3 linked regions of the Diceros bicornis minor genome follow. The protein of the gene in region 2 purifies or fractionates together with the protein of the main gene of each other region. This does not show direct contact. Links are inferred from orthologs where the notes say so. Each region holds a gene or a part of one and is shown on either strand. Other genes may lie near its edges.

Evidence for each region. The genes of interacting proteins can lie anywhere in the genome.
Region 1: the proteins of UTP4 (region 2) and UTP15 purify together in Homo sapiens (co-immunoprecipitation; 4 studies listed by BioGRID and IntAct, counting the BioPlex papers as one, with this or other methods). This does not show direct contact. The link is inferred for Diceros bicornis minor from reciprocal best matches to the Homo sapiens genes UTP4 and UTP15.
Region 3: the proteins of UTP4 (region 2) and WDR43 purify together in Homo sapiens (co-immunoprecipitation; 5 studies listed by BioGRID and IntAct, counting the BioPlex papers as one, with this or other methods). This does not show direct contact. The link is inferred for Diceros bicornis minor from reciprocal best matches to the Homo sapiens genes UTP4 and WDR43.

What each region holds. Positions count from the first base shown.
Region 1 is NC_080740.1:3,224,985-3,234,495, forward strand, and holds the start of UTP15 (U3 small nucleolar RNA-associated protein 15 homolog), read left to right. Parts: upstream 1-5,617; 5' UTR 5,618-5,856; intron 5,857-9,511. UniProt on the Homo sapiens protein: Ribosome biogenesis factor. Involved in nucleolar processing of pre-18S ribosomal RNA. Required for optimal pre-ribosomal RNA transcription by RNA polymerase I.
Region 2 is NC_080771.1:20,660,086-20,670,205, reverse strand, and holds the start of UTP4 (U3 small nucleolar RNA-associated protein 4 homolog), read right to left. Parts: upstream 3,946-10,120; 5' UTR 3,875-3,945; intron 3,789-3,874; exon of another isoform or gene 3,747-3,788; intron 2,795-3,746; 5' UTR 2,793-2,794; coding exon 2,634-2,792; intron 1-2,633. UniProt on the Homo sapiens protein: Ribosome biogenesis factor. Involved in nucleolar processing of pre-18S ribosomal RNA. Part of the small subunit (SSU) processome, first precursor of the small eukaryotic ribosomal subunit.
Region 3 is NC_080751.1:54,132,438-54,142,238, forward strand, and holds the start of WDR43 (WD repeat-containing protein 43), read right to left. Parts: upstream 3,895-9,801; 5' UTR 3,873-3,894; coding exon 3,648-3,872; intron 1-3,647. UniProt on the Homo sapiens protein: Ribosome biogenesis factor that coordinates hyperactive transcription and ribogenesis. Part of the small subunit (SSU) processome, first precursor of the small eukaryotic ribosomal subunit.

The DNA.
Region 1 (9,511 bases), on a different chromosome or scaffold from region 2:
CTTTTCCAAAGCAACGATTAGAAAAGTCTTCTATTCACACGCATTGTCATCACTCCATCAGCACAGTTGTGAATGCAGCTTTTGCAGCGAGTTCTGGGAACGCAGGCGCCGTCGGCAAAGAAAAGAGTATCACATCTCCAGCCTGAACGCTGGGCACTGTAAAACTAGACAACTTTATTTTTAAAACCATTGCTGTTGAAATGTCAAGATGGACTGGAAAAGATGCTAATGGAAAAGAAATTGCCCTTCGAATCTTAAAAATATTAGTGAAAAGTGTCCAAGGGGAAAATTGCAGATGTTTACCCAAGATTCTACATGTTTGGGTGAAAGAATTTGTACTTTGAAAAGCCAAGAGGAGTACTGCCTCTCTCCATCAGCCTGAAAATAAACATACTGACATACTACATAAACAGGGAAGGGCCCACATGGGTTTGTATGTTCAATAAGCAGGGAAGGAATCAGTATTTGCTAATTGGCAGCTAGCAAGAAAAAAAGGATCCATTTATACTTTGAGCCTTTTGTTGTTAATGCATTGTTAGGTCACATGCAACTCCTAGGAAGCATTTCTAGTTCTACCCTCCATGATGACCAGACAAAAGGCAGGAAACGATCTGCTTAGGGTACCGTATTTCTGGTAAATCTTTTACATACTGATCGGGGCCATGAGGTATTGGAATTGTATCTCCTGCGGTGGTTTGAGGATAATCCAGCCTTGCCAGATTGTAAAGTGATCGGGGTGCTGCACAGTGTTAATGCACACGGAGAACACTGTGGGAGGCAGAGGAGAGTGCGGAGGAGAGGCAAGGAAGTGCCAAAGGTTAAATAAACAAAAAAATCTTTGAGAGCCAAAGCATTCAACAGACTTTTCTTTGATCTTTACCAAAATTTATGAAGAAATCCAAAAGGAATTTGATAGCAGACAGGAGTTGTCCATCAAGATTATTTGCTTCTTAGCTCCAGAACTCACTTACTTTATGCAAACTACTGGAAATGATCAAATTGCTTGATCGTGGATGTAAGCATCCTCAGGAAGGTTTCTAAGTATGACTTAGTTTATGTAATTGAAACGTAAGGGTAGCCACTCCAAGAACCCATAAAAACATCAGTTACATATTTTCATTTCACCTGAGTCATCTGAACAATCACCACAGTTGTTTCTTGTGTCACACACCTTGTCCACATATATCCAAGTCTTCTGGTTGGGACACTTGAATATCAAGTTTTGTGGGAGACTGCTGGGCATTTTGCCTATATTAGACAAAGACATTAGTTCTAATAGAAAACATTCATGCATGATAATGTTTTAAGTGTAATTCTGAATTTTAGTTATTCGTTTCTGGTGACTATTCTTTAATCTTGATTATTTGTCCACCTCGCATTCATCTTCACCATGACTGCAGTCCAGCTTGCCGTTACAAAGCAGTGACGGTGACAAGCAAGTAGTGAGGTCGTCACACAGGAAGCCAAGGTGCTGTGAAGCTGTCCTACAGTATTGATAGGGCAGACCTGGAAGATGTATGAGCTGAGTACTGGATGTTGTCGTGTGCATCCCTGGCCATGAACATCAAGCTGTAATAACAGAATAACCTGCTCCTCCTTCCCCCTCTGCTTCTTTCCACTGTTCTTTTTCCCATTATTTCTTCTCCTTTTCTTTCTTTTTCTCCCCCATTTTCCAAAACTCTCTAGACCTACCTCGCTTGCATTTCTTGCACCACCACTGGCATTTGGGCAAAAAGTGTGGACTCACTCCTGCCTGACGAGGAACCCAAGGGGACCGGCAGGGAGTCAACAAGCCTGAACTCTGGGGTGAGCCTGGCGGTAGCCCTGCAGCCCCTTCACTGTTTTCTTAGCTGGAAATGGCAATGAAGATAACTTGCTTCACCAACCTCAAGGGGGCGCTGTCAGTTAAACTGACTTCATCGTTCACGTGCAGGGAAACTACTCACCAAAAATGAGTGGGAGTTTGTCAAAATAATGTGATATTTAAAAAAAAATTTTAAGTACTATAAAAGTTTAATAGAAGTTAAGGTGTAAATAGTGGATTGGTAACCCTTATATCTCAAACATATTTACACCTAAAATAATGTATTTCCAGAAAATTCCAGTTTGGTGTGTAGAGTGGTAAATAGGCTGGAAATATGTGAGATACCTGGGTCAGAGTTGGTGAGGGCTGAGTGCAGGTGCGTTTGCATCTTGAAAGTTTTGTAGTTGGGACCAGGTTGATAATTAAGAGGCAGATGACACCACAGTTTGTATCCCCTAATCCATGAGGAGCTGATTTCTCTCAAATCACCAACAATGTTTAACACCAACCCAACCAAATACTGAATCATTCGCTCTTCTGTCTTGTTCACCACTGTTTCCCTAGTCTCCCTACTTACAGCAGAAACTCCTTGAAGGTAGAAACCATGTCCTGTGTGAGCTTCAGAGTTGGGCGGACCTGGATTGGAATTCCAGCTTGTAGATTTACCAACTACATGGATCTTGGGCAAGTCACCTAACTTCTCCGAGTCTCTGCTCATAAGGGTGATAATGGTGATAACAACCATCACCTCGCAAGACTGTTGAAAAGAACGAAATAAAGATGACGTGTTAAGTGTCTAGAGCAGTGGTTGGCACATCCCTCAGGCCCATTATCCCGTCATCAGGAGACTCAGCCCCTATCACCCAAATCAGGAGACTCACCCATTTAGAAAATAATTGGGGGATAAATATATTTTTGTTGGTTGAGTGAATTATCAACAGATCCAGCACCTTGGGGAGACACATACTTGCAGGTTTCACAGGTATCCCAAAGGTGATCTCAAGACTGATAGCAGAAGCCATAAGTCCAAGCACAAGGAATGCCATGAAGGAAATCCAGAGACACTGCCTGGTGGGAGGCCAGCGTTGCTCTGTCAGCAAAACACAAACATGAAGAACAAGGCTTCATCTCAGGGCAGAGGCTCATGTGGGGGCTACGGTGCTAACCAGCCAGCTGTTGCCTATGGTCACGTCAGTGGGAAAGGCAGGAGCCAAAATGACAGGACCTTAGAAGTATGCTTTGAACCGTAGTGGTGCTTTCCTGTCTACAGTTGCTAATCCAATCTTTTGGGCCCCCAGCCTTATGATGAGTGGCTATTGCTCCCCGCACTGTGAAAATGAAGCTCTAAAATGAAGAAACAGGGCCAGTGAGGGGAATGACTTCTGAGGTTTATGCTGATGTAAGTGGAACTATCTCACCTTAAACCCAGGTCTTCTGGCTCCCTCTCCAGGGCTATGTCTACTCTGCTGAAGTTTCCCCAAACCTGGTTTTCAGGCTACTTCTACCAGAATCAGTGCAGAAAATGCAGATTCCCAGGCCCCACCCCAGACCTATGGGATCAGAATCTCTAGGCGGTGGGGCAGAGACCTGCATATTTTTTGAGCACTCAGGTCATTCTTGGACACATCAGTCTGAGAACTAACAGTCCTATACCAAAGAGGAGTGCAGACTCGGGGCTTGGGTTCCAACCAGACGCTCCTCAGGACTCTTGCTTACTCGTGTCTGGCATCAGCAGTCCCTGACGAGCAGGAGGGGAGCTGCTTCCCTTGGAGTGGCTTGGCACCAGGCGAACTTGCCTGACCAGTGTTACCGGCATGCCACAAAGAGGAAACAGAGCTCCCACTGCTCCTGGTCGTTGCCGTCAGCAGCACTGCCTTCACAGTCAGACTCCTCTCTTTGCTAGTCCCGAGGTGGCCCAGCGGCCAGAGCTCCTAAATCTCTCTGAACCTTCTTCAGGGCCTGAGTCTGCAGTTGTGGGATCTCCTGGGCCTCCATGTAAGGAATTAGCATTCAAACCCCCTGTGGGTAAACAGTACATTTTAACAGGAGAGAGATGAGATGGCATCTTTTATGGCGACCACTCCTAGAGTCTAAGGCTTTTGTCCCTTTGGAACTATATCAAGTATAAAGATTAATTCTTTTATCTCTAACACCTAACAGTGCTTCACAATCAACAGCCCTGTCACGCAGCTGTGCGTATTCACATTACTGGTGAAGAAACTGAGGCTTCAAGAATCTAAGTGTCAGCAAGTGTAGAAATAGGGACTCGACCTCAATCAGACCCTCTCTCTGAGTCCTCTGCCCACCACAAAGCTGCACTGAAGATTTTCACTCTGCTGGGTCACAAAACCCTGCAAATCCCCGCGCCTTAAGCCCGAGTCTCCGGCTCCTGGGGTCAGTGTGCATTAGTCCTTCCCACGGTAGCTACAGCCTTTAAAATGTTCTTACTCTTTGATTAGAAATCCCATTCTGGGCCTCTACCCTGTGCATATAATTGGATCTGCAGAAGAAAGCTTTATGTGGAAAGATTTTTTACAAAATTTTTATGTAGTGTAATTTTTAACGGGAAATACTAAATGCTAAACGAATTCTAAATGAAAACGCTTCAGTGGCTTTAATATTAAACGCCTGTTTACTAAAAGTGATCAAATAAACCATTCAGTTTTATATGTGATGGATCCTCGACGGGGTAAAACAATCATATAAAGACACCAAGCGTGAAGAGAAAGCCTGCGCAGTCCGCAGCGGCCGTCTCTGGATTGCGGTTCGTTTGTTCATCATTCATTCCTTCGGCAAATATTTGCGGAATATCTGTGTCTGGCGTGTGCCATGCTCCGTAGACACACTAACGAACAGGACAGATGTAGCCTTGGCCTGAGGCGAGCTGGAGGTCTGGGGACAATGTGATGTTTAGCAGACGGGTTTGTGTCAGAATCACTAGGGGGGAGGGGGGAGCGTTAAAAATTCGCGTATTCGTGGCGTTAGGGCATAATATAATTTTTTAAAAAGCTCCCTTAGTGATTCTGAAACACAGCCAGGATGATAGGTACTCTTCTAGAATAGAAGTCTCCAACCTTTTATGATCCCACATCCCTTCAGTAACACAACAAATAAACGAAATAAAATTAACATTCCCCCCACGACATATGAATATTTATTTATAAATTCTACGCCTGTACTAGTCCACTAATGTATTACGTATATTGTAAGACATTGTCGAAAATTGAAATTTAGGAAGGGTGAAGTTAAATATACTATAAAGATAGAAATCTTAATAATTTCTTCCCTGACCCACTGGATCCTCCTTGGCGCCCTGTGAGATTCATTTGGAAATTACTTCTCTCTCTAAAGGACAAAGGGGCTGTGAGCGGCGAACAAGAAAGGAAGCTGCTTTTACGAAGTCATTGCTTATTTAGTAGGACGGCCTCGAGGGGGTTGGAAAGGCTCATGCAAACGCTAATCATTGAAACAGACATTGAAATAGACCTGTGACATTACAGTGGAATTAGAGCGACACAGCCTGTCTTTATTACCTGGGTGGCTGATGCGTAACTGGAAATCATTCCTCTGCGCGTCAGCGGACACGAGGGAGTTTATGGGGTCTCTGGGCCCTAAAATCCATCTTAACTAAGCCGTAACAGCCAAGAAAGAGGAAGAAGGGATTGTGCAGAGTGAAAGATGAACGAGGGGCTTGCCCGAGGCCTGCAGCCAATCAGGGCGAGGCTGGGGCACTGCGGTCCTGAGGAGGAGCTGGGCTGGGATGCTGAGCGGAGCTGCCCGGAGGGGCGGTGAGCCTTGCGCCTGCGCAGTATTTCCTCACTCGGGCCCGAGACCCCGTCGGCTGCAAGGCCAGTGTCCGCCCTGAAGAGGGCAGCAGAGAGCAACGAGTGGGCCCCAACTCCTCGGGCTCCGCGCAGCCCGCCGCGCAGCAACCACCACCCCTCTCTGCTCAGCGGCGGCGTGGACTGGAAGGACCCCAAGGGCCAGGAGATGCTCGCGGCTGTCCCATGCTTCTCGGGATGACTGGCCGGGACGTTTTGAAGCGTTTGGAGGTAAATCCGCAGCCACTCGCCCCTGCCACGGTGGTCGTGTCTTCTGTTTGCAAGCAGTATGAGGTAGTTTAAGCACCTTCAAATGCCTCTAGTTTACTTTCAGAGGGAACCCGGGAGGTAAGCGGATTTGTAGGACCGTTTCATAGATGAGGAAACAGATGCCCAAAGATTGAACACTTGACCTGCCTTCCATAGCTGGTTAGTGACAGAGCCGGACTTGGACCCAGATCTCCTAAAAGCAAGTAGAATTTAACTTTTCCTGCTAAACTCACTTCTCTTAGAGTTCTTGGGCCGTTTCTCAAGGATCTGCATATTCTCTTTGAGAATATAAACTTTTGTTTTCATTGTGGTGATAATCTGTAACAGTTATTAAAGCGTATTCTGAATCCTCTGGATGACCATGACTGACTGGTGGCATGTGTTGTCAGGATCTTGATTTACTTTGTGTTTATCCTTCAATTTGTGCTTGTCTTTGAGTTTGTACCAAGTGAAATCCAGTTGACTTCACGGTACACTCTATCACTGAGATATTTTGCAGCAGGCTGAACGCAGAAATGTGGTGGGAGAACTGAGTCATCTTAGGACACACAAAATACAGGCATGTCAGACGTAAAAGTAACTTGCCCACAACGTCCATGTTCACGTTTCCAGGAGACGTGCACTGTGGTCGCAGTCTTTGAAAATATCAGCTTTCAACCGTTCAGTTGATAATAATTTTAGTGGTAAGCATGCCTTGAAGAATGGTTCTGTTCTGGAGTCAACAATAATTGGATTAGTTGCCGCTGCATGCAGACTGATCTCTTCCCATAGAAGGGAACTGTACAGTTATCAAGTACCATCCATGTTGCTCACTCGCAGTGTCAGTTAAGTGAAAGGTTTGCTTCTCCTGAGCCACAAACAGGCTGGGATGTACGAAAACTCCTGTGTGTAAGCAAACAGGCGTCCTCGGGAGTTGTATTTTCAACTTCACAATAGAGAAGCAAACTAAATATATGACCAGGCCTGAGCTAACCGTTAACCCCAAATTGGCAATTTAGTTTCTGTAAGACAATATGGTAGTCCTCCCTTATCCTCAGGGGCTACGTTCCAAGACCCTCGGTGGATGCCTGAAACCACGGATAGTACCTTACCCTACATACAATGCTTTTCCTATACATACATGCCTCTGATAAAGTTTAATTTATAAATTAGACACAGTAAGGGAGTAATGGCACTTGTGCTATTATTAAGTAAAATAAGGGTTACTTGAACACAAGTACTGTGATACCACAACAGTTGATCTGATAACCCAGATGGCTGCTAAGTGACTGACGGGTGGGTGGTGTGTACAGCGTGGATCCGCTGGACAAAGGGATGATCAAATCCCAGGCGGGACGGAGAGGGATAACTTGAGATTTCATCACGCTACTCAGAATGGCGAGCAATTGAAAACTTATGCGTTGTTTATCTCTGGAATTTTCCAATTAATATTTTCGGACCACAGTTGACTGTGGATAACTGAAACTGTGGAAAGTGAAATCACAGATCAGGGGGACTGCTGAAACATCCACTTACCCATCACATTAAATTAATATTACAAATTTGAATTTTATTAGTTTTATGGTATTTGGTTTCAATTTTGTTCTGCAATTATATAGTAACCCATAAGCGCAGAGTTTATGCATTGTTTTATGGTTGTCCGTATTGAAATAACATTATAATAAACATTAAAATGATAGCGGTGTGGTGGGAGTCGGGAGCCTGCAGTCATTTTCCCAGAATGCGAAGGAGTCCACTCAGTGCTGGGTGTGAGGAGGCTGTCTCCTCTCCTCTTGGCAGTCTTGCTGCATTCCCTCCCTGCACCAAGCCCTCTCACCTCTGAGAGCTGCTCAGATTCCTTTTCTTCACCTTTCTTCTTAGCAACATCAGCCCCCACTCTTCTCTTACTGTAACTCCACACTCAGCTCCTCGGCTCTCAGGGAGCTCTCCTTCTCGGGAAAAGTTTTGAGACCCTAATCTAGTTCAGTTACCCTTCTTCACACATGAAGAAACTGGGGCCTCGATGGCTAAAGTGACTCTAGTTCAAGGTCACCGGAGACTGCAGCCAGCATTCCTGGTTTTCAGCCTGGGAACAGATCCACAGAAAGGGCAGAGGGAAGCAGCCGTCGCTATTTCCCACGGGCCTGCTGCTTGCCTGTTCCTGATGCGGGAGGGAGGCGACACAGGCATGGTGGAAGGCATTGCGAGAGGGGCGAGTACCGTGCAGCGTGGTGCCTGGACCTTCCAGCGTCTGAGCCGAGGCTGCGTGATGAAGGGCACAGTCACTGGAGTCAGCAAAGCCGACCCTGGACTTGACCTGCCAAGAGGAGCTGGTGACCCTGGGCAGCCGTTGCCTCCCTGCAGGCCGCAGCTTCCTTGTCTGTAAAACGGTCAGGGTTGCAGTAGAATTTCAGTGTCTCCCAACCTCCCCTGAAGATACGAATCCCTTGGCGTGTTTCTTAAAAACCCATGTTCCTGGGCCCCCACCCTGAGCTGGAATGTCCCAGGGGAGATGCCTGGTAACCTGAAGTTAACAGGGGCCTCAGCTCTTTGTTACCATCAGGGAGACTCCGGACCAGATAAGTCCTGAGGCCTCTGCCTCCTCTCCTTCTGCGTCAGCGAAAGCCCCCGATACACTGCAAGTGTGACGCTGAGAGGAAGAACCTGGAATCGGCACCAGCCCTTCACCCCTAAGAGCGCGGTCAGTGTGTCACTCAGCAGGTCTCCGAGAGACAGGGACAACGAGACGGGTGGGCTTTAATCAGAGGAATTAACTGCGAGGGCACAGGCAGGCCTCCCAGGAGAGACGGACGACTGTGGAGCAGCAGCGGGGTTTTCCGGGTGGCTGGAGTTGGACACGGCAGGCCTGAGCCTGAGCCTGGAGTGCAGCCGTCTGCACTTCTGAGGGGAGCCAGCTCTGTGGGTCTGTCCAGTGTAGTGTGTCCCTTAGTGGTGGCCCGGCTTCAGGGGAACCAGCTGGGCTCCCCTGGTGACACGTCCTAGCTCTATAGGAGGCCAAGCTCCATTTTCTGTCTTAATGAGCAGTGACACCATCCAGTCAGAAATGGACATGCAGAGATGGGGGGCGTACAGGAAAGATTGTTCTGCCGCTTGTTAAGACGGTGAGGAAGACTTCATCTGAAACGACTGCAGTAGGGGGAGAGACTCACCTCAGCTCTGAGTACAGCAAAGACGGGGCATTTACAGCCCCCGAGCAGAGGGAGGGGGCAGCGGAGGGAAACTAGAAAGAGGAACTTGATTCCACCTCAAGGGGAGAGGGATCGTGATAAACCGGCTGAGTCGGGTTCGTGCTCAGACTGGGCTCAGCAGGCCAAGGTCAAGGTCAAGGTGAAGGTCAAGTCGAGAGGGAGGCTGGAGGAGCCTGACTAAGCTTCATCAAGGACGGAGTCTGTCAGGGGCTGAGATGAGTTAATAAGGCGCTGGTGGGGTTGCGGGTTTCTCTCTGTCGGGCTGAAGAGCTGGCTGAGGAAGAACCATTGGTGGGTCAATACGGAGGCTGACTGGGGCTTGTACTGCTTGACAGGCAACGTTCGTCATAATGAAAGAGTAACAATTACAGCTCTCGTTTGTTATTTTCCACGTGGCAGTAATTTTATATACATTATTTCAAATCCTT
Region 2 (10,120 bases):
GGAAAATGGTATGGAGATTCCTCAAAGAATTAAAAATAGAGATGCCCTATGATCCAGCCATCCCACTACTGGGAATCTATCCAACAAACTTGAAATCAACAATCCAAAGAGGCTTATGCACCCCTATGTTCACTGCAGCATTATTCACCATAGCCAAGAAGTGGAAGCAACCTAAGTGTCCCTCGACTGATGACTGGATCAAGAAAATGTGGTATATATACACAATGGAATACTACTCAGCCATAAAAAAAGACAAAATCGTCCCATCTGCAACAACATGGATGGGCCTGGAGGGTAGTAAGTAAGTAAGTGAAGTAAGCCAGAAGGAGAAAGACAAACACTATGATCTCACTCATATGTTGAATATAAACCAACACATGGACAGAGAAATCTGTATTGTGGTTACCAGGGGCAATGGGGGTTGGGGGTGGGTACAAGGGGTGAAGGGAGTCATATATAAGGTGATGGACAAACAAAAATGTACAACACAAAATTTCACAATGTTAAAAACTATTAAAACATCAAGAATAAAAAAAAGTCATCAATGTGGATACTGGCAAATACATGCTGATTACTGTGTGTCAATTTTACCTATATAAAGCTGTTTAAAAAATAAAAATAAGATAAACAAATGCAGCACTCTAGCTTTTCATTCAAGTCTCAGATTTCTAAGTGCTTTCTTAGCACTCAAAAAGTTTTCATATCTATCAAGGCATTTTACTCTTATATCTGCTTCAAACAAAAGGGACTGAGTAGGTATAATTTTTCCTATTTGAACTTGAAAAGGCTGAAGTACTTGTGGGTTAAGTGGCTTGCCCAAAGTGACAAAGTCAATGACATGAAGAGAATGTAGGTCTCCTTACTCCAAGTCCCTACTCTTTTCACTCCAACAGATACAATTTTTTCTTGTTCTGAGAGTGATTAACAGACCTAAGCAATTTTATATAGTAGAGAAGAGAGTATGGAGAAAGCAGAAGACTAGACTGAATTAATTAACTGTTGAAGAAAAAAACAGATGAGAGAAGAAAATAAGAGGTACCACGGAAGGAATAGTTGAATTATTCATTCAACAAATATTAACTCAGCAGGGTCTTTATACCAGGCACTTAGTAAATGCTGGGATTACAGTCATGAATATCACTGACATGGTCCCTGTTTTCATAAAATTTGAAGTTCAGTGGGAAAGAAAGACACTAAACAAATATACAAATTTTTATATAATTGTCATAAATGACAAGAAAAATCACAGGATGCAACAAGCATGTACCACAGTATGTTTTTCATACTACAGAACGTGACCCATTTGTGGTGCCTGGCAATTTTTTAACTCTTATTAGTTCTTTAGGGATCAGCGCAATAAGTCATCCCTTCTCAGGATTCTTAAACCTATCTCATCAGAAAGAGTAAGGCACCTCTCCACTAAGATTCTATGCCTGTGCTTAGTTTTACGGTAAAATTTACCCCACTTTTTGGAAACTGTACATTCATCCTCCCCCCCGCCCCAGACTGGGTTCCTTGAAGGTAGGGCCTCTAACATTGGTCTTAATGCCTAATACTTGCCACTCATTCATTTAGAAACATTACAGAGTGCCTAAATTCAAAGTCCTAGGCTCCTGGGCACTGAACTCATTCATTTATCCACCCATCCATTTACATCAGGGTGCCTAGGGCACACAAGGCACTAAATTAATGTGAACTGAATTATTTTGTTGCACCTGAAATCAGTAATCAGTGCCTTTGAAAAATACGCTGCTGTAACAGCCCTCTGAAGACACCCAAATGGTATTTTACCTAATTTAAAAATCTCCTTTAGGGCTGGCCCCGTGGCTTAGTGGTTAAGTGCGCGCGCTCCGCTGCTGGCGGCCCGGGGTTCGGATCCCCGGCGCACACCAGCTGCACCGCTTCTCCGGCCATGCTGAGGCCGTGTCCCACATACAGCAACTAGAAGGATGTGCAACTATGACATACAACTATCTACTGGGGCTTTGGGGGAAAAATAAATAAATAAATAATTAAAAAAAAAAATCTCCTTTACTTCCAAATATAGGCATTTTCTAAGCCTATGTTCTCTCACACAGGTGAACTCAGGAATCCATCTTCCTGCCATCATGTAACCAAAAAGTTTGATATTAAATGTTTCTACACAGAAATTGAAATATAATGATGTACACCTGAAATTTATATAATGTTATAAATCAATGTTACTGGAATAATAAAAAAAAGTTTCATCATTTTTTCTGAATTGACAATGAGTACTGACTCCACCAGCAGGAAATGCCGCCTTGCCAAAGTTGCTATGGTGCAGACATATAAAGCAATGGTCTTGAGAATTTCCCTTGTTGTTGTGACCAAAAGGTCCAGCAAACCTCAGTTTCCAAATGACAGTGAGCCCCCACAGTTCTTAGGTAGGATCTTTCTAACCAACATTACACAGATCAAAACTCTTGAGCTCATCATCAGTCAGAGAAGAGATTGCATATTTGCTACAGAAGTTATGTAGTTCTAAACAACTCCAGGGAGAGTCCCCTTCCCTACGTCTCTCTGAATACAAAAGACACAAAGGATTTTGTATAATCCAACTTAAGAAGAAAATTAAGATCAGAAACACCAAATCAGGCTCCCAAATGACTTACCTTCTCCTGAAAGTAGTTTGCTGACAAGTTATAAATTTCCACAGTGCCATCTGTTCGTGAAACAGCCAATCTGTTTGACTGGTTATTGTAAGCCACACAGCGGATCCCTGACGGAACATAATTAAAGAAACGCACTCGATGGACCGTAAATTCACCCATTCCTAGAGGAGAAAAAAAAATTATTGTTAAACATTAACTGCAGTATGTCATACATCCTGTTTATCATCACTGTTCTGGATAGAAGACTCCAACTACATCTTACTGAGGTTCATTTCTCAATACATATCTAATTAATGATGCTTTTATGCCCCACACAAGAATCTATCAATCTCCAGAAGTTCAGGATACTTCAGCAAAAAAATTAAAAGACCAGCATATAGAGCACCACCCAGACTCTTAATAATCCTGACAAGTGCCTAAAAGAGGGGTGAGAATCTAAAACTTGACCTTAGAGCAAAAGACAGAACACAATCTCATTCTCTAACTGGGAGTGCACACCTAAACGCAGGGAGACACACAGAGGTGACCAGTTGTACTCAAGGCAAAAACTAAGGTCCTCCTTTCTATTCTGTGTGAGATTTCTTGAGGGGGAGCAGAAAAAGAGGGTAAAAACACGACGACTGTCAAGAAGCAAGAAATATCGACAGCTTAAATCAGTCTCTCAGAGTCAGGTCTGCAGGATTCCTGCATCAAAATCACCTCGAAGAACGGTTTTAACAAATGCAGGATTCCAGGTCCTACCCCATAGCTCCAGAATCTCAATCTCTTGGGGGGGGGCTCAGGAATCTGCATTTTAGCAAACATTTTTTCCTAACTCTATTGCATGCTAAATTTGCAATGGTAGCGATGGTGGGGCTGACGGGGCAGGCAGAACCAAGAGCTCCTCAAGGAGGAAGCGACAGGACTTGGTCTGGCATCTGTCAACTACCTCCACCCCGCCGCCAACACACACACTGGGCGAGAGCAGGGGCCGGATCTGGTTCGTCCCTCACTCGTCTCCCTTCAAGATCAGGAGCCTACGGGCAAGGCAGGCGTGCTCCGCCCGGCCCGGCGAAGAGGGCGTCTGAAGCGCGCGCAAGAGTTCGGCCACCCCTTCCCTCTCCGGGCACTTACGGAGTAGCCCCCACCAGCCTCGGCACAAGGGAATCGACGAGCTCCGCGGGGCGTCCACCTAGGGCAGGTCGCACCCCCTCGAACTCCCCTCTCTCAGACTCGCTTCCCCGACCCCTTCCCCAACTCACCCACGGTCAGGCGCTCCCCTCTCTCCGCCCCGGCCCCACGTGCGCGCGCGCTGGCGTACTCTGCCCCGGAAGTGCTCGCGGCGCAAGGCCGGAAGTGCGCAGGCAGTGCTCGCGGCGGCGGCGACGGCGGCGGGAGGTTCGGTTGTCGCCCGTTGGCCGCGCGGCGCCGCGCTCGGCGGCCGCCATTGCAGGTCAGGCCGCGGGCGGGGGCGCGGGAGGCCGCGGGGAGCGAGGACCGAGCCGGGGATGGGGGCTATTGTGCGAGGGAGCGGGAAGCTAGGGAACTGGGGTCGGGTGGGGCGCGCGGCTCGGGGAGAAGAATGGCGAGCCGAGGGGCGGGGAGCAGCGGGCGGGGGAGGGGCGGCCGGGAAGGGGGAGGGGAGGGGCAGGGCCGCGCTGAGGTGGGGGCGAACTAGAGGGGCCCCCGGAGTAGGAGGGCCAAAGGGAGCCGTGTGGAGACGGAAGGCGGAGGGAAGGAAGGGAGCGAGCGGGGCGGAGCGGGAGAAGGGCGGAAAGGGTGGCCGAGCGCGGGCGGAGGACGGAGAAGGGGGCGGCGCGGGCCGGAACCTCGAGGTATGTGCGGAAAGGGGCTCTTCCCCGGGTGGGGAGGGAGCTCAGCACGCGAGGCTTGCGGGAGCGGGGTAGAACTGGAACCCAGGAAATAGAGGGAATATCAGAAAGGGGACTTTGTGGGGTGGGGGGGTAGGACTGTGAGGTTTGTTTGAGGGAACATTTTAAATCGCAGGGGGGAGGCTGCTGGAAGAGGTAATTTGGAGGGTGGTTAAAAGGAAGAGACAGTCTGGAGAGTGATCCCGGTTCTTTTGTGGGCGGAGTGAGAGGTGAGAGAAGAGTGGGGTGGGATGCTGGAGGAGCGAAGTACTTCAGAATTGAGGGGGGAAACGGAACGATTTGGAGAATGAGGGTGATAGAGAATGTTTAAAGAGTAATCTTTGGGAGGAGGGTAAACGGTTTGGAAGATTATTCCGGTGGGGGGTGTGGAGGAAGGCAGTTTAAAGAATAATTTCTCTGGGAGATCGGAGAAAGGGTTAAACAGCCTGGTAAGAGGTCCCAGCGAAAGTCTGGGGGTAATTTGGAGGGGGGTGGAGAAGAGACGGGAAGCCTATTGAGAAGTCCCAGAAAGTGGGCGGGACTAGAAATAGGAAGTGTTTGTAGATCAAACTGCAGGGATGGGAGGGGGCCAGGAGAGAGGGTGGAGAAGATGGGGACCAGTGGGAGGAGAATGCAGGGTTAAGGGAGACCTCAAGCAGGGCTAGAAAGGAAGGGGCTTTGGGGAAGATAGGGTGCCATAGCAGTAAGAGCAGGAAGGGTTGAGAAGGGGTTGCAGAGTAGCAGAAGATGGAGAAAACTGGAGTAACTCAGATCGACTGAAGCCATCTTTTCCGCCCGTTGTCTACAAATACCAGTAATTGATTCCCTCCATCATGGGAATCCTAAAATGTTACGGGAAAGTACCACGTGTATGCATAGTATCCACATACGTTTTTGAACACACTCTTCACTAATGAAAAGTTTGGAAGCATTCAGTTCCACCTACCCTCCATAGCCCCTTTTTGGAGGGGAGCAAGCGTCTCATTGAGAATTTTAGCACTTGGTGACATAAGCCTGTCAAGAGACAAGATCCCCTTTGAAACTTAAACAATCCCCCTCAGTCACAAAACCACAATAACACTGCTAATAAAAATAATCTGTATTCAGTTGTATATAAACTTGCTGAATGGTTCATTTGGTAGAAAGGCACACAGAAATAGTCATGTTTAGAGAAAAAAACCTTCCAGAACTTAATCCCTGAAGCAGTTTGGTGAACCCTGACTGCCATGTTTGACTTGTTGTCCCATTATGTAAACTTGATTTTATTCTGATGACCTGCTGCTTTTATAGGATGTTTCAGTCCACTACAAACATTAAAATAATAATTATACAGTGTAGTATTAAGACATTTGATTGGACATATAGTAAGAAAATGCCACTTCTTCCAGGTAATCAATAGCTTGACTCTAAAAGCTTACCATATGTTAGGGACTGTGCTAAGAACTTTACATTCATAACCTCATTTAATTCTCACAACATCTCTTTGAAGTAGGTTTTTTTTTATGCGCAATTTATTGGTGGGGAAACTGAAACGAGGTTAAATTACCCCACTGTCACACATAGGATAAGTGGCAGAATCCAGATCTGACAACTTGAGTTCTTACTGTATCCCTAAACACAAAGAATAGTCCCTGGGACCAGATAAGAACTCAGTAAATGCTAACTGTTGGCCTAGCAGTTTGCAAACATTTTGTGTCATGTATTTAATTTTTTAAATTAAGAATTTTAAAGTTAAGCTTTTATTCCTTTTCTTAAAAGCTTAAAATACAGGATGAATTGAAAAGTTCTAATGAAAAAAATTTATAAAACATTGTTTTGCTCTAGTAAAATTTAATTATTTGTAATTAGGTTAAAACATTGGGTCAAAGCCTCTTGTTTCAGTAAAAGCTGTTATCTATTTAATTGGATATGCAAGTGCGATATGTATTGCACTTTCTCCTGCCACATTTTATTTTGAAGGCAGTTACCATTACGAGGATCTCTGCTCATGCTGTTCTCTATAAGACAGTAATCTTTTAACATGTTAACATTTAACAATTCAAAAACCAAAAGATAAGGGAATTAAATTTTGTGGGAGAGTAAAATGAATCTGTGACAAAGAACTTGCTCTGTTTTCCTGGCTTATTCTGCCTTACACTAAGGAACAGAGGTTAGGGTAAAGTTTTGAATCCTGGAGGTGACATTGAGTAGATCTCTAGAGATTTCAAAAACCTAACTTTCATCAGTTGGATATGACAAAAAGCAGGCTTATTTTTTGTTTTTAAGTGCCTGCCCCACAGATAGGATAGCTACTTTGGTGGCAAATTATAAGATCTTCCCCATAGGTTACTTATTTACCATTTATAAGAGAAGCTGTGAGAAAGGCTGATATTTGTAAAGCAATCAGAAGTTCTCATGCAAAGTAGTGCATGAGATGGGGCTGTGAAAGGACTGCAAGAGGCCATATTGTGGAGGGGTTAGGGTTCTCGTCCCAGCTCTACCACTTTCTAGCTGTGTGACCAGTTACTTAACCTTTAGCTTCTCTAAGCCTGTTTTCTCATTTGTAAAATGGGAGTGATAAGACAATGCCTACAATCATAGGATTGTTTTTTGTTTTTTTTTTTGTTTTTTTTTAAAGATTTTATTTATTTATTTTTTCCCCCAAAGCCCCAGCAGATAGTTGTATGTCATAGCTGCACATCCCTCTAGTTGCTGTATGTGGGACCCGGCCTCAGCATGGCCGGAGAAGCGGTGCGTCGGTGCACGCCCGGGATCCGAACCCGGGCCGCCAGCAGCGGAGCGCGTGCACTTAACCGCTAAGCCACCGGGCCGGCCCCATAGGATTGTTTTTAGGATGAAATGAGAGAATCCTTATAAGTGTTCAAAAAAGGTTAGCTATGTGAGAAATGAAGTTTTTTGTATTATTAAGATAACACTCTGCCTGGACTTTTCTTCCTTCTTAAATTGTAGTGGCACTTTGATTTTTCATGTTTTTAATAATTTAATAGTAACTAACTTCAATATAGAGATAGAAGCTAAATGGCAGGGCCGGCCCCGTGGCTTAGCGGTTGGGTGCACGCGCTCCGCTGCTGGCGGCCCGGGTTCGGATCCTGGGCGCACACCAAGGCACTGCTTCTCTGGCCATGCTGAGGCCGCGTCCCACATACAGCAACTAGAATGATGTGCAGCTATGACATACAACTATCTACTGGGGCTTTGGGGGAAAAATAAATAAATAAAAATTATAAAAAAAAAAAAAAGAAGCTAAATGGTAGTTAAATGAGGTGTATCCCGGATTCTTCTGATTCCAGTCAAACCTTTTGGGTTTTGATGAGGATTCCCCTTGTGGGTCTGGATGGATTCTGAGACTGCTGGTTCCTTTGCTGCTCTGTGGTTTGTTCAGGGGTCTCGAAGTCATCTGGAGCACTGTCCTGAGAAGCAACAGTGACTTTACCCAAGACCTCCAAACTAATGCCAGGTCTTAAGACTGGGGATGATCTGGGGCAAGCTTAGATAAGTATCGTTTCTAGACATTTCAAAGCCCCCAAAAAGACTTTTATTGTTTTTGAGGAAAAATTGGGAGTTAAAAAGTGCAAAGTGCTTTAAAAAATTTTTTCCTTAGCAAAGCTAGTCACTTGACTAAGTTAGGAATATAGAACTTAAGTATTGTTTAGTTTATTTCGCTTTGTGAAGGCCCGGAAAAACTGAGTAGAAAAAATTTCCCCCCTTTTATGAGATAAAGGAGGAGTCCAAATAATTCATTGCAGAGAAAGAGGTTTGGTTTTTTCCACACCTCCTCATCTCTCCAAGTCCACGCTCTAGTTGTGGCCTGTGAGATTCCACTCTGAAATAGAATGAATTTAAACATCTTTTTGAAAAGTGACATCACAGAACTTTTTCCCTGGCTCTACAGTTACATTGTTAACTTGGAATTATTCCTGTCCAAAGACAAGTTAGTTGGTCCTAGCCAAATCTAGGATTAAACTCAAGGTTCTGGAGAAAGAGAGGTGCTGGGCGAGCTCTTCCATTGACTCCTTTTGGTTTCATGATTTGATATAATGTATTCATCATACTGTGGCTTCAAACGCTGCTCTTGATAAAGCTGCAATTTCTACACAAGCAATATCTTAGAACAAATGCATAGAAATTGCTCTAGTTGTCTTTAAGTGTTGGAATGAGTTGAGATTGAAGACTTAGAAATCTTGTTGTTATACAGAAAATTTTCATTGTGATGTTGTGTTTGTTATTACTAATAGCATTTGATTTGTATTATACTCCTTCACCTCTTTATTCTCTTACTAACTCTTTCTGCTTACTCTCAAGGGGATGGGGACAGATGGGGCTGCATGTTCTCGTATCCTTTTTGGTCACCTCCACACTAAGTGAAATACATATTCCCTGTCACCTCTATCAGGTGTGTCCTCAGTGAAGTGCCCAGGTATCTACTGAGAACAGTTGCTTAGAATAGTAATCTTAAGGAGCAAGAAAAGGAATAATAGGATTCAGGCAATAGGATATTTTAAGGCACTAAAGCAGAATTTCTGAATTCAATAAAGGGATGCCTTTCTCTACGTTTCTTACTAACTTGGTAAATACACCCTCACATGCATAAATGTGGCCAGGTCAGTCCTCGGGTTCCTATGAGCTAGATTGTTACAAGCTGGGTGTGAACTTCATTTGTATTCACATCTGCGGCATCCCAGTAGGTCTAGCACAAGTTTTTACCAGCCTGACTGGGTATAGCAGCAGAGCTGAGGCTGTAGGCCACAGAATTCTTATTTTCAGGAGCATTTCTAGATGTCTGCCAGTATCAATAGCTGTGCTCAGGCAGGGCCTCCTACATAAGTGGGTAAAGCTGTGTGTGCTCATTGAAGCGCCAGGAGTTAGTATGCAAGTGCAGCCACTCTGACCCAGCTATTAAGCATCTGTTTTCCTTTGCCTACTTAGGCCACTGTTCTGAATTCCCAGGAAGTGGGGAATGCACTGAAAATATTTCTGTATCCCTTTTTCCTAAACAGTCCCCACATGCCCATCTCAAAATGTGGTCAGAAGCCTTAAAGATTGATCTTGCCTGCCATGATCTTCCTAGAATGTGTTGTGTATCTGTGTGAACACTTTGTTGCTTCTCTGAAACCGCCTGTATTTTGCTATAACTTATATCCTTTAAGGAAAATATACTGCACCATCAGTCATCAAAAGCTTATTTACAAGAACGGCTTCTCAATCTCTCTGCATTGATTGACCTTTAGAAACTTCACAACTTCATCTTTTTGTTATTGAGCCTTTTTTGATTCATGACTAAAATATACCTACCAGTCTCTAAATTATAGTCAAAATTATACTGTGGAAATGCTGATTTATTTATCCTGTCTAAAAAAATTAGCTGTTCATCTGAATGGAACTTAAGGTCTTTAAAGCATTTTTTTTCATGTTATTTTTAGTCTTCACAATAGTTTTAATGAGTCAGGTAATCTAGGTGTTGGCCCCATAGTTATTAAGTGACTTGTGTGTGATGACACCGTAGAGAGTTCCACACTTAGAGGCCAGAACCTGAATTTAGGCCTTCTGATTTTAAATTGTTATCCTTTCTTCTTCAAGAAACCTTAGAAAAGAAGAATTTTTAAAGTGCTTTTGGTGGTGTGGCCTCCTCATCTGTCA
Region 3 (9,801 bases), on a different chromosome or scaffold from region 2:
GGATCTAATCTGCAAACTTTACCTTCTTTTGAAGTTTAAATACTGGAGAGACCTTAAGACAGCCTTCATCGTACAGAAGTCGAGTGTGCTACATCTCTAAGAAATGGAAGTGGGGATACTCAGCTGAGATTTTTCCTAGAAATATCCTTAATGCTACTGTGCTTGTCCTGTCCAATGTATGAAATGCCACGCGGTTCATTCAACAAGCACTAAGCTGTGTGGGTCATTTTAACTGCAGTGACAGCAAAGCAGCGTAAGTACATTTACTGCGGTAGCCAACAGCAGACAAGGCTGTTTCACCAGGGCTCTACAGCAGTTAGGGAAGGAAAAGTAGAAAAGTTGGAGAGATTTAAGGCGGCAACAGAACACCAGGGTCAGTTCCTAGGTGGCTCAGCCATTTACTGTGTGGCTTTGGCATATCATTTAACATCTTAGCCTCAGTTTACATACGCAAATCTGAGCAGCTCTAAACACGGCGTCCATCTATAGTCCATCAATCTGTCGCCTTGCACTTTTCTCGTCATCCTAGGAGGTCCTCTTGCCCCAGGCTCCATCAACCAAAAGGAATGCTCAGCTATATAATATATATATGAAAACCCTCTAAAAACTATTGTGTCATAAATGCAAGTATTATAATCATTCTATGACCAAGAACAAGAAGCAGCAATCTAATTTCCCTAAACATTTATGAACCACTGCTTTAACTCCTGTTACCCAAGAAATCCAGCACCAACTCACAATTCTCAATCGATAAGAATACTGTGACCAAACTTTGTCCTTGGGTGGCAAACTGCAAATTACTGAACCAGATGCAGGACACTCTTACAAACTGATTTATATTGAGGAATGTAGCAGTAAATGATAAAATGAGCCCATATAGAACACTCAATGAATCATTCAATAACTAATATTTATTGAGCATTTACTGCATGCCAGACCATACTACACCAGTCACATACATTGCCTCATTTAATCCTCTCAGAACGCTGAAAGGTGGGTGGCATAATCTCCATTTCACATTTGAGAGAAACAAGATCTTAACAAGATGCTGAGAACATAGGCTTCAGAATAACACTCTTTTCATGCCTCTTACTTTAAGCCTCAAAGTTGCAAAATAATAGGGTTTCATAAGATGAGAGCATCTTAAAACTTAAGCGGCAAGCATCATAACCCCGGGGACCTGAGAGCAAAGGTTGAAGCAGTTGCTACAAATCACTCTTCATTTTCTATCTTTAAAAATCATGTGACTTTTTAATTTTATACCATAATATATGTGCAAATTTGTTTTAATACAGGAAAACTGCTTCACTTCCTAATTTTCAAGTAAAAATGATGCTCTAAGAGAACACATTCCCAAGATGATGAGGACTGGATGTCTCTACACTCCTCCCAGCTGTCAATTCTGTGATTCAAGATCTAAGGTTACAGTGTAAGAGCACTAGACCAGGAGCCAGAGTATCTCAACTCTAGTCGCTTCAACTACTTTACTGTGTATTAGGGCTTCGGTGAGGTCATTTAAACTTTCTTAGTCCTGATTCTCAGTTTTTAAAAATGTAATAATTTCAGGGCATCTCACTGGGTTGTGTGGCTAAAACAAGAGCATACAGGTAAAACGATACTGAAACCTGTATAAACTTTTTAATGTAGCCCAACTCTCATTTTTCAATGAAGCCTCCAAAATTAAAGTGACTTGCTCAATGTGACAAAAGCAAGTTTGACTTGAGTCCTGATTATGAAACCAAATCCAGATATTTTCTATTGTATCAAAGTGTTATATATATTCTAAAACTAAGACTCTTAACAGGAAATTTAAGACTAGGCAAAAATTTTATTCCTGAGGTATACAATGTGATAGTAAGTCAACAGAAAAGCAAAGTGGGCGACAAATTTTTGCCAACCTAATATTAACTATTTGTTGCAGATAATAGAGAACTGAGCTCTAAATACCAGAATTCTAGTCCTGGTTCCATTTTTGGCTTTTTCAAGTTGCTTAACTTTCTAGAGCCTCAGTTTTTCTTCCCAAACAAGGCAAAAAGTTAGTCTTTACCTACCTTGCAGGACTAATCACACAAATATGAGATACTTATAACGATATTAACACTTGCAGCACTTACACACCAAGAACTATTCTAAATATTGTATGCATTATTAAATATGTTAACCTTCACAACCACTCTATGCGGTAGATACTATTATCCTCATTTTACAAATGAGGAACTATAGGCACAATTACTACTATGAAGCCAAGCCTGGATTCAAATGTAGGCAGCATAGCTTGGATCCATGCATCTAATCATTGCTCTGTATTTCTCCTCTTCATTAGTATTATCACTTTACAGGAATGTTAAAATACAAACATAAAAAACAACTTTGAGAAAGAAAAATATGCAGAGTGCTGTAATTTTAACACTGACAACTACGATTTTTTCACAAGTCCAAGTTTTGTGCTTGACTAAGAGCTCTGAAAAGGTTTCTCTTATTAGTCAAGAGGAGACACTTCATCCAGAAACTATGAAAATTAAGCTTAAAATGTGAAAAATACCTAAACATACTTATACAAAGTAGAACAAGTTAGATGCATCCCTACTTTTAACCTAAAAATTTAGCAGAAAGTTCCCTAGGGTAGTCAGAAGGGAGTTAAGATCTGTACTAAATACTAGCTTTTGAAGTTTTACAGAGTGTCAGCTGAACACCACACACCTCACAATACCTGATGCTTCCAAACCACACTGGACTGATTCAGTTTGGCTACCCTGTACCTGCAGTTCCCACGTGCGTGTGAGTTAGAGCAGATGTAGTCGCGTGACTCACAGTGAATAGCATCTTACCTGAGATGGGTGGCTAAGAGTGAAAAGCCTTCCCTAACTCGGCAGTGTCCTATCTAACAGAAACTTCACCTGGACTCACGATCATTAAGCTCAACTACTTCAGTTTACCACCATATCCTAATGCAGACTTCAACCTTGGGGGAAAGGAGATGTACAACAGTGGAGCCTAGCAGAAGTTAAAAATAAAAAAGCAAGAAGGTTCAAACGGCCGAGAATGGAAACGACCCTGGGAAAGTCAAGAGTTTCAAGAGTGCAAGTCCCACATCCTGGACGTGGAAGAGAACACGTGGTGAGCCGGCACCCGAGGGGGGGGGGGCCGGTTGGGGTTGTCCGGAAGCAAGGAAACAGACTTGTTCATTCCAACTGCCCAGGGCAAAGCCAATAAGCTGGACAGGGGTCGGAGAAGTAGTATAGCCCCAAAGTGGAGCTCTGTCAAAGGCCAAGGCTCTGAAGAGCGCACGCTGATGAGCAAGGCCAGGCAGCAGGAAGCCGCCCCTGGGGGGCCGGGGGCCTCCGCGAACATGGCGGCCCCGGCGACTGCGGGGCGCCGGGCGCCGACTGCCGACTGCATGGAGCCCGCCGGCAGGGTGCCGGCCCACGGCCCGTGAGGTCGGGCGGCGCCCTCTCTCGCTGCCCTCGGGACAGGCCGCACACAGGGCTGGCGGCGTGGGCCCAGTCCGCGCCGCCGCCGCGCCCCGTGCCTCCTCGCCCCGGGCCGTCGAGGGCCACGCGCGATGCTGGGCCACGCGCCGAGGGGCCGGGGGGACCCGGAGGCCGAGTCCGACAGGCGCCCGCCCACCGCCATCCCGCTCGCTTTACCTTGGCCTGCAGCCGCCCTGGCGCCCAGGCCAAGCAGGTGCAGGTACCGCTGAGGTGCGCGGAAGGCACGTACTCCTGGTGCAGCCGGTTGTTGGCTGTTTCCCACACTCGCAGGTGACCGTCGGTAGACGCCAAAGCGAAGTAGGCCTGGCTCTGGGGGGAGAAGGCGCAGGGGACCCCCGCGGGAGACAGGGGGTCGGCAACACTGCCGCCACCCGCCGCCATTGCTGCTCTGGCTCCGCGGCAGCCACGTGTTCGCCCGTGCGCAGGCGCACCGACGCGGGGCGGGGTCTGGAGGGAGGAAGTGGGGCGGAGGAAGCGCCGAGGGTCGAGGGCGTGGCCTTTCGCCGCGCAGGCGAGCGTAGGGCGGGCCCACTGTGTGGACGGTGGCCCGGTGGGCCAATGCTAGCTTGCACTGGGGAAGGGAAAGGACGTGTGGAGCAATGTGACTGACTGTGCCCTGGAGAGCGGAGCTCATTCCTTTAAATAGAGTTGTTCCGTAGGAAGTTGGATATATGAAAAGATCACAGTTAGAGATGTAAACTGTGGATGCGTTAGCATACAGATGCTGTTTGAAACTGTGGGACTGGTCAGATCATGTTGGGTGTAAGTATAGATAGAGAAGAAAACTTAGCCCCAAACTATGCCAGTCTTTAAAGGTCAGGAAGAGGAAGAAGATCCAGCAAAGAAGATTAAGAAGGGGTAACAGTGAGGCAGGATGAAAGCCCAGGAGAATGAGATGCCCTGAAAACCAAAGTTTTATAAGAATTTCACAAGCAAGATATGATCAAAGCCGTGTCAAATGCTGTAAGATGAAGACTGAGCATTAACCAGTGGACTTGGCAAGATCAAGGACACTGGTGACTTTTCAAAAGCATTTTTAGTAGAGAGGTGGGGGGGGAACTTATTGAAGAGAGTAGAGGGGAAAAAAGGGAGTGAGAAAGTGCAGAAAAGTATAGACAACTATTTCAAGGATTTTTGTTATAAAAAAACATATATAGGTCTGTATGAAAAAAGATCTGAGCTAGAGTGATTTGTTAGTCGTAAATATACAAATAAAAGCCTATTTATTGTGCACTTATTATATGTCAGGTATTGTTCTAAGTGTTTTATGTATATTAATTCACTTAGTCCTCCCAACAGCCCTAGGATGTAGAAACTATCAATATCTCCATTTTTCAGATTTTTTTTAAATTTTTTATTTATTTTTTCCCTCAAAGCCCCAGTAGATAGTTGTCTGTCATAGCTGCACATCCTTCTAGTTGCTGTATGTGGGACGCGGCCTCAGCATGGCCGGAGAAGTAGTGCGTCGGTGCGCGCCCGGGGTTCCGAACCTGGGCCGCCAGCAGCGGAGCGCGCGCACTTAACCGCTAAGCCACGGGGCCAGCCCTCCATTTTTCAGATTTAAAAAAACTGAGATATAGAGCTGGGCAGTGGAAGAGAAGCTGGATTTCCAACCCAAGTCATCTTTGGGCATGGACGACCTGACCCAATGAAACTATGTAGGGTTCACATAGATGACCCTCCAATACCCAAACATATCATTTCTTGACCTTCTCCCTTTCAATGATCTTGGCATCTACCTTATACCAGCCACTCACTCCCACGGTCATGTCGCAGACCTTATCATTACAATAACTGCACCCCCTCCATAATCTCTGTTTCCACACACTGCTCTCTAACCACCAACTCCTATTTTTTCAGCCCGCTCCCTCTAGCTCCCAGGCTCCAGCCAGTCCTTCTACCCCACAGGACCATCAATTCATCGATCCTACAATGTTTTCACCAGCCCTCACCCCTCCTCCCTGACGGCTGCCCTTCCCTCTTAATTCATCTTAAAGTCTGTCATTGCAATTCTCAACTCCCTTGCCTCTTTCTCACATCATAGTCCTTCGTTGGTGAAACTGCAAGCCTGGTAAAATCTAACTCTCCACCCAAAAGCAGCTGAAAGTGAGTAGAGAAAAGCCACAACCACTCTATTATGACTCTTACCCACTTTAAATTCATGATCACAAATGTCATGTGGGAAGTCAACGCTACCAGGTTATCAATTGTTCCCTAGTCCATTCACTCTTCCACTCTCCTAGACATTAATTCATATCCTATCACCTCAAACTTCCTCCTCCAACCTCGCTCTCAGTGGATGACTTTGCTTCCTATTTTCTGAGAAAATAGCAATCAGAAGAGAACTTCCACGAGCTCCCAGTACCACAGACGCTACCCACCTGTGCTCCATCTTTCCTGTACTACAGATGAATTGTCCATGCTCCTGGCAAAGGCCGCTCCTCCACATAAGTTCTAGATCCCATCCTCTCTTGTCCATTCAAGAATATTATTCCAGGGGCCGGCCTGGTGGCGCAAGCGGTTAAGTGCGCACGCTCTGCTTCGGCTGCCTGGGGTTCACAGGTTCGGAACCCCTGGCACGCACCGACGCACCACTTGGTAAGCCATGCTGTGGCGGCATCCCATATAAAGTAGAGGAAGATGGGCACGGATGTTAGCTTAGGGCCACTCTTCCTCAAGAAAAAAGGGGAGGATTGGCACTGGATGTTAGCTCAGGGCTAGTCCTCCTCACAAAAAAAAAAAAAAAAAGAATATTATTCCAGGGGCCGGCCCCGTGGCTTAGCGGTTAAGTGCGAGAACTCTGCTGCTGGCAGCCTGGGTTCAGATCCGGGGCACGCACCAACGCACCACTTCTCCAGCCATGCTGCGGCTGCATCCCACATACAGCAACTAGAAGGGTGTGCAACTACGATATACAACTCTACTGGGGCTTTGGGGGAAAATAAATAAATAAATAAATAAAATTATTTTAAAAAAAAAAATTATTCCAAAAAGTCTTTCCTCTCTCTACCAGCATCAAGTTTTACTTCTCAGCTTAATCCTTCTCATCAACATATAAATATAATGTTATTTCTCCCTTCTTAAAAGATAAAATTCCCTTGACCCCACTTCCCCCTCTAGTTGCTGTTCCAATATTTCTTTCCTTTAAAACAAAACAAAACAAAAAAGTAGTCTAATTTTCTCAATTTCTCTCCTCCAGTGGGACTTTCATCCTCACCCACCACTACACAGAAACTCTTCCCAAGGCCACCAATAACCTCCACACTGCTAAATATGTGTCCATTCTAAGTCCAAATCTTACTTGGCTTGTCATTAGCGTGCTTGTCTTCCACGACATCACACCCTCCTGGCTTCTTGTTACTTCTCTGGTTGCTCCTCTCAGTCTTCTCTCCTGGCTCTTCCTTATGTCCCACTCTCTAACATCAGGGTGCCCTGGGGCACTTCTTTACCTGGGCATATGACTTTCCAGAATGAAGACTATATTTTCCAGCCTTCTATGCAGCAATGTGAGGCCATATGACTATAGGCCAGTACAAAAATATCCTTAAATTGAGAGGGTATACTAGTCATCATTGCTTTTTTCTTCTACCTCTTCTTTTTTTTTTTTTTAAATCCCTCCTATCTGGGGGATGCTTCCTGCATTCTTTTTCTCTTTTTTTGCAGGAGAAGATTCACCCTACACCAACATCTGTTACCATTCTTCCTCCTTTTTCTTTCTTTTTTTCCCCGCCCCGCCCCCCAAAGCCCCAGTACATAGTTGTGTATGGTTGTAAGTTCTTCTATTTCTTCTATGTGACCCAACGCCACAGCATGGCTACTGACAGACAAGTGGTGTGGTTCCGTGCCTGGGAACCGAACCTGGGCTGCTGAAGCGGAGTGCACCGAACTTTAGCCAGGCCATCAGGGCTGGCTTGCTTTTTTCTTCTTAATCCTTGGAACTCAAATGTGGTGGCCAAACCTGGAGCATTTATGTTGGACTTTGAGGAGAAAAGAACATGCTAAGAAGGGCAGAGCAACAATAGAGAAGGACCTAGAGACCCTGAAGCCTTATATATGCCCTGGACCAAATCTTCTGAACTTTTTTTATACAAGAGAAAATAGACATCCCTCTTGTTTAAATTACTATCTTTTGGGTTGTGTCACATGCAGCTGAACCTAATCGTGTTCATTCTTTCGTATCCCTTGCCCCAGTTGGTGATACCACCAGCCATCCAGTTAGCCATAGTAGAAAGCCAGAATTCAGCCCTGTTTATTACCCAATCTCATATCTCATTTCTACCCAAACACATACACACTTCTGATCAGTCATCAGATTCTTTTTATCTCTTAAATAATTCCCCACTCAATTTCCTCACCTCCATCCAATTCAACCACCTCTGTTCTTATTTGAACCTTATATCTCTCACCTGAAGTGCTGCCACTGCTTTGGTTGGACTCCCTTTCTCCAGGCTGCCCATTGGTATAATCTTTGCAAGTCATAAATCTGACCATTCTACCTCTCTACTCAAAACCCTTCGCAAGCTTGCTGGTACCTATAGAAGAAAGTCTATACTGCTTAATATATATGGATTACAATCTATAATCTGGTTCTTGTTGATGATGGTCTCCCCTATCATCACTCACTACAGGTTGCCTCAAACATCACACCCCAGATCCTGACCTGCTTCTGGTTTCCTGCCCTTACCACCCTTGTTCTGGGCTCTGCTCTTTTGTTCATGCTTGTAATTTAGGCTCTTCCAATCTTCCCTCTGCCCCCAATTCCAGCCCTTCATCCAATTTACTAACAATTTGGCTAAACAAAGTCCTATAAGTCCTAAAGAGTGATAGAGCCTATCAATCTCTAATCCTTAACAAAATATTAGCAAGTCAAGTCTAGCAATAAATAAAAAAGTTTATACACCATAATCAAGTGGGATTTATCCCAGGAATGCAAAATTGGTTTAACATTCAAAAATCAATACATGTAATACAACACATTAATAGAATAAAGGATAAAAAACACATGGCAATCTCAAAAGGTACAGAAAAAGAATTGAACAAAATCCAACACCCATTCATGATTTTTAAAAAAAAAAAAACCTTAACAAACTAGGAATAGAAGGGAACATCCTCAACCTGATAAAGAGAATCTACAAAAAAACCCACAGCTCACTTCATACTTCATGGCGAAAGACTGATGCTTTCCTCCTAAGAATGAGAACAAAGCAATGCTGTCCACTCTTACCAATTCTATTTGGTATTTTACTGAAGGGTCTATCTAGTGCAGTAAAGTAAATAATAATAATAATTATTGTTAGTAATTATTATTGTTATGGCATCCAAATTGAAGAGGAAGGAGTAAAAGTATCTTTATTCACAGATGACATGTAGGAAATCTCAAGGAATTCACAAAAAGCTCTAAAACTAATAAATAAATGTAGCAAGGTCACAAGACACAAGATCGATATACAGAAAATCAATTGTATTTCTACATAGTATTAATGGACAATTTCTGAAAATTAAATTAGGAAAATGATTCCATTTGCAATAGCACTTGAAAGAATAAAATACTTGGGAATAAATTTAACAAAAGAATTTCAAGACTTGTACTCTGAAAAGTACAAAATATTGCTGAGAAAAATTAAGCAGGACTAAATAAATGGAAAGATATTGCATGTTCATGAATTGGTAAACTCGATATTGTCAAAATAGCAATTCTCCTCAATTCACTCTATAAATTCAATGCAATTCAATGAAATCCATATCAAAATCTTAGCAGGACTTTTGTAGAAATAGATAAGCTGACTCTAAAATTGATATGGAAACACAAAGGACCTAAAATATTGAAAACAATTTTTCAAAAGAAGAACAAAATTGGTACACTCACATTACCTAATTTCAAAGTTAACTATAAAGCTACAGTAATTAAATGTGATAACAGTGCAAGTATGGGCATATAGAGCAATGGAACAAAACCAAGAGTACAGAAATAAACTTTTACACTTGAAGTCAATTGATATAGGCAAGGTGCCAAGCCAATTCAATAGGCAAAGTACAGTCTTTTTCATAAATAGTACTGGGCCAACTGGATATCCACATGCAAAAAATATATAAATAATTAAGAAGACAAACAACCAACTAAAAAATCAGCAAAAGACTTGAATAGACAATTCATCAAAGAAGATACATGAATGGCTAATAAGCACATGAAAAGATGCTCAACATCATTAGCCATTAAGGAAATGCAAATTAAAACAACAATGAGATACCACTTCATGCCCACTGGGATAGTTATAATAGAAGGACAGACAATAACAACTGTTGAGGATGT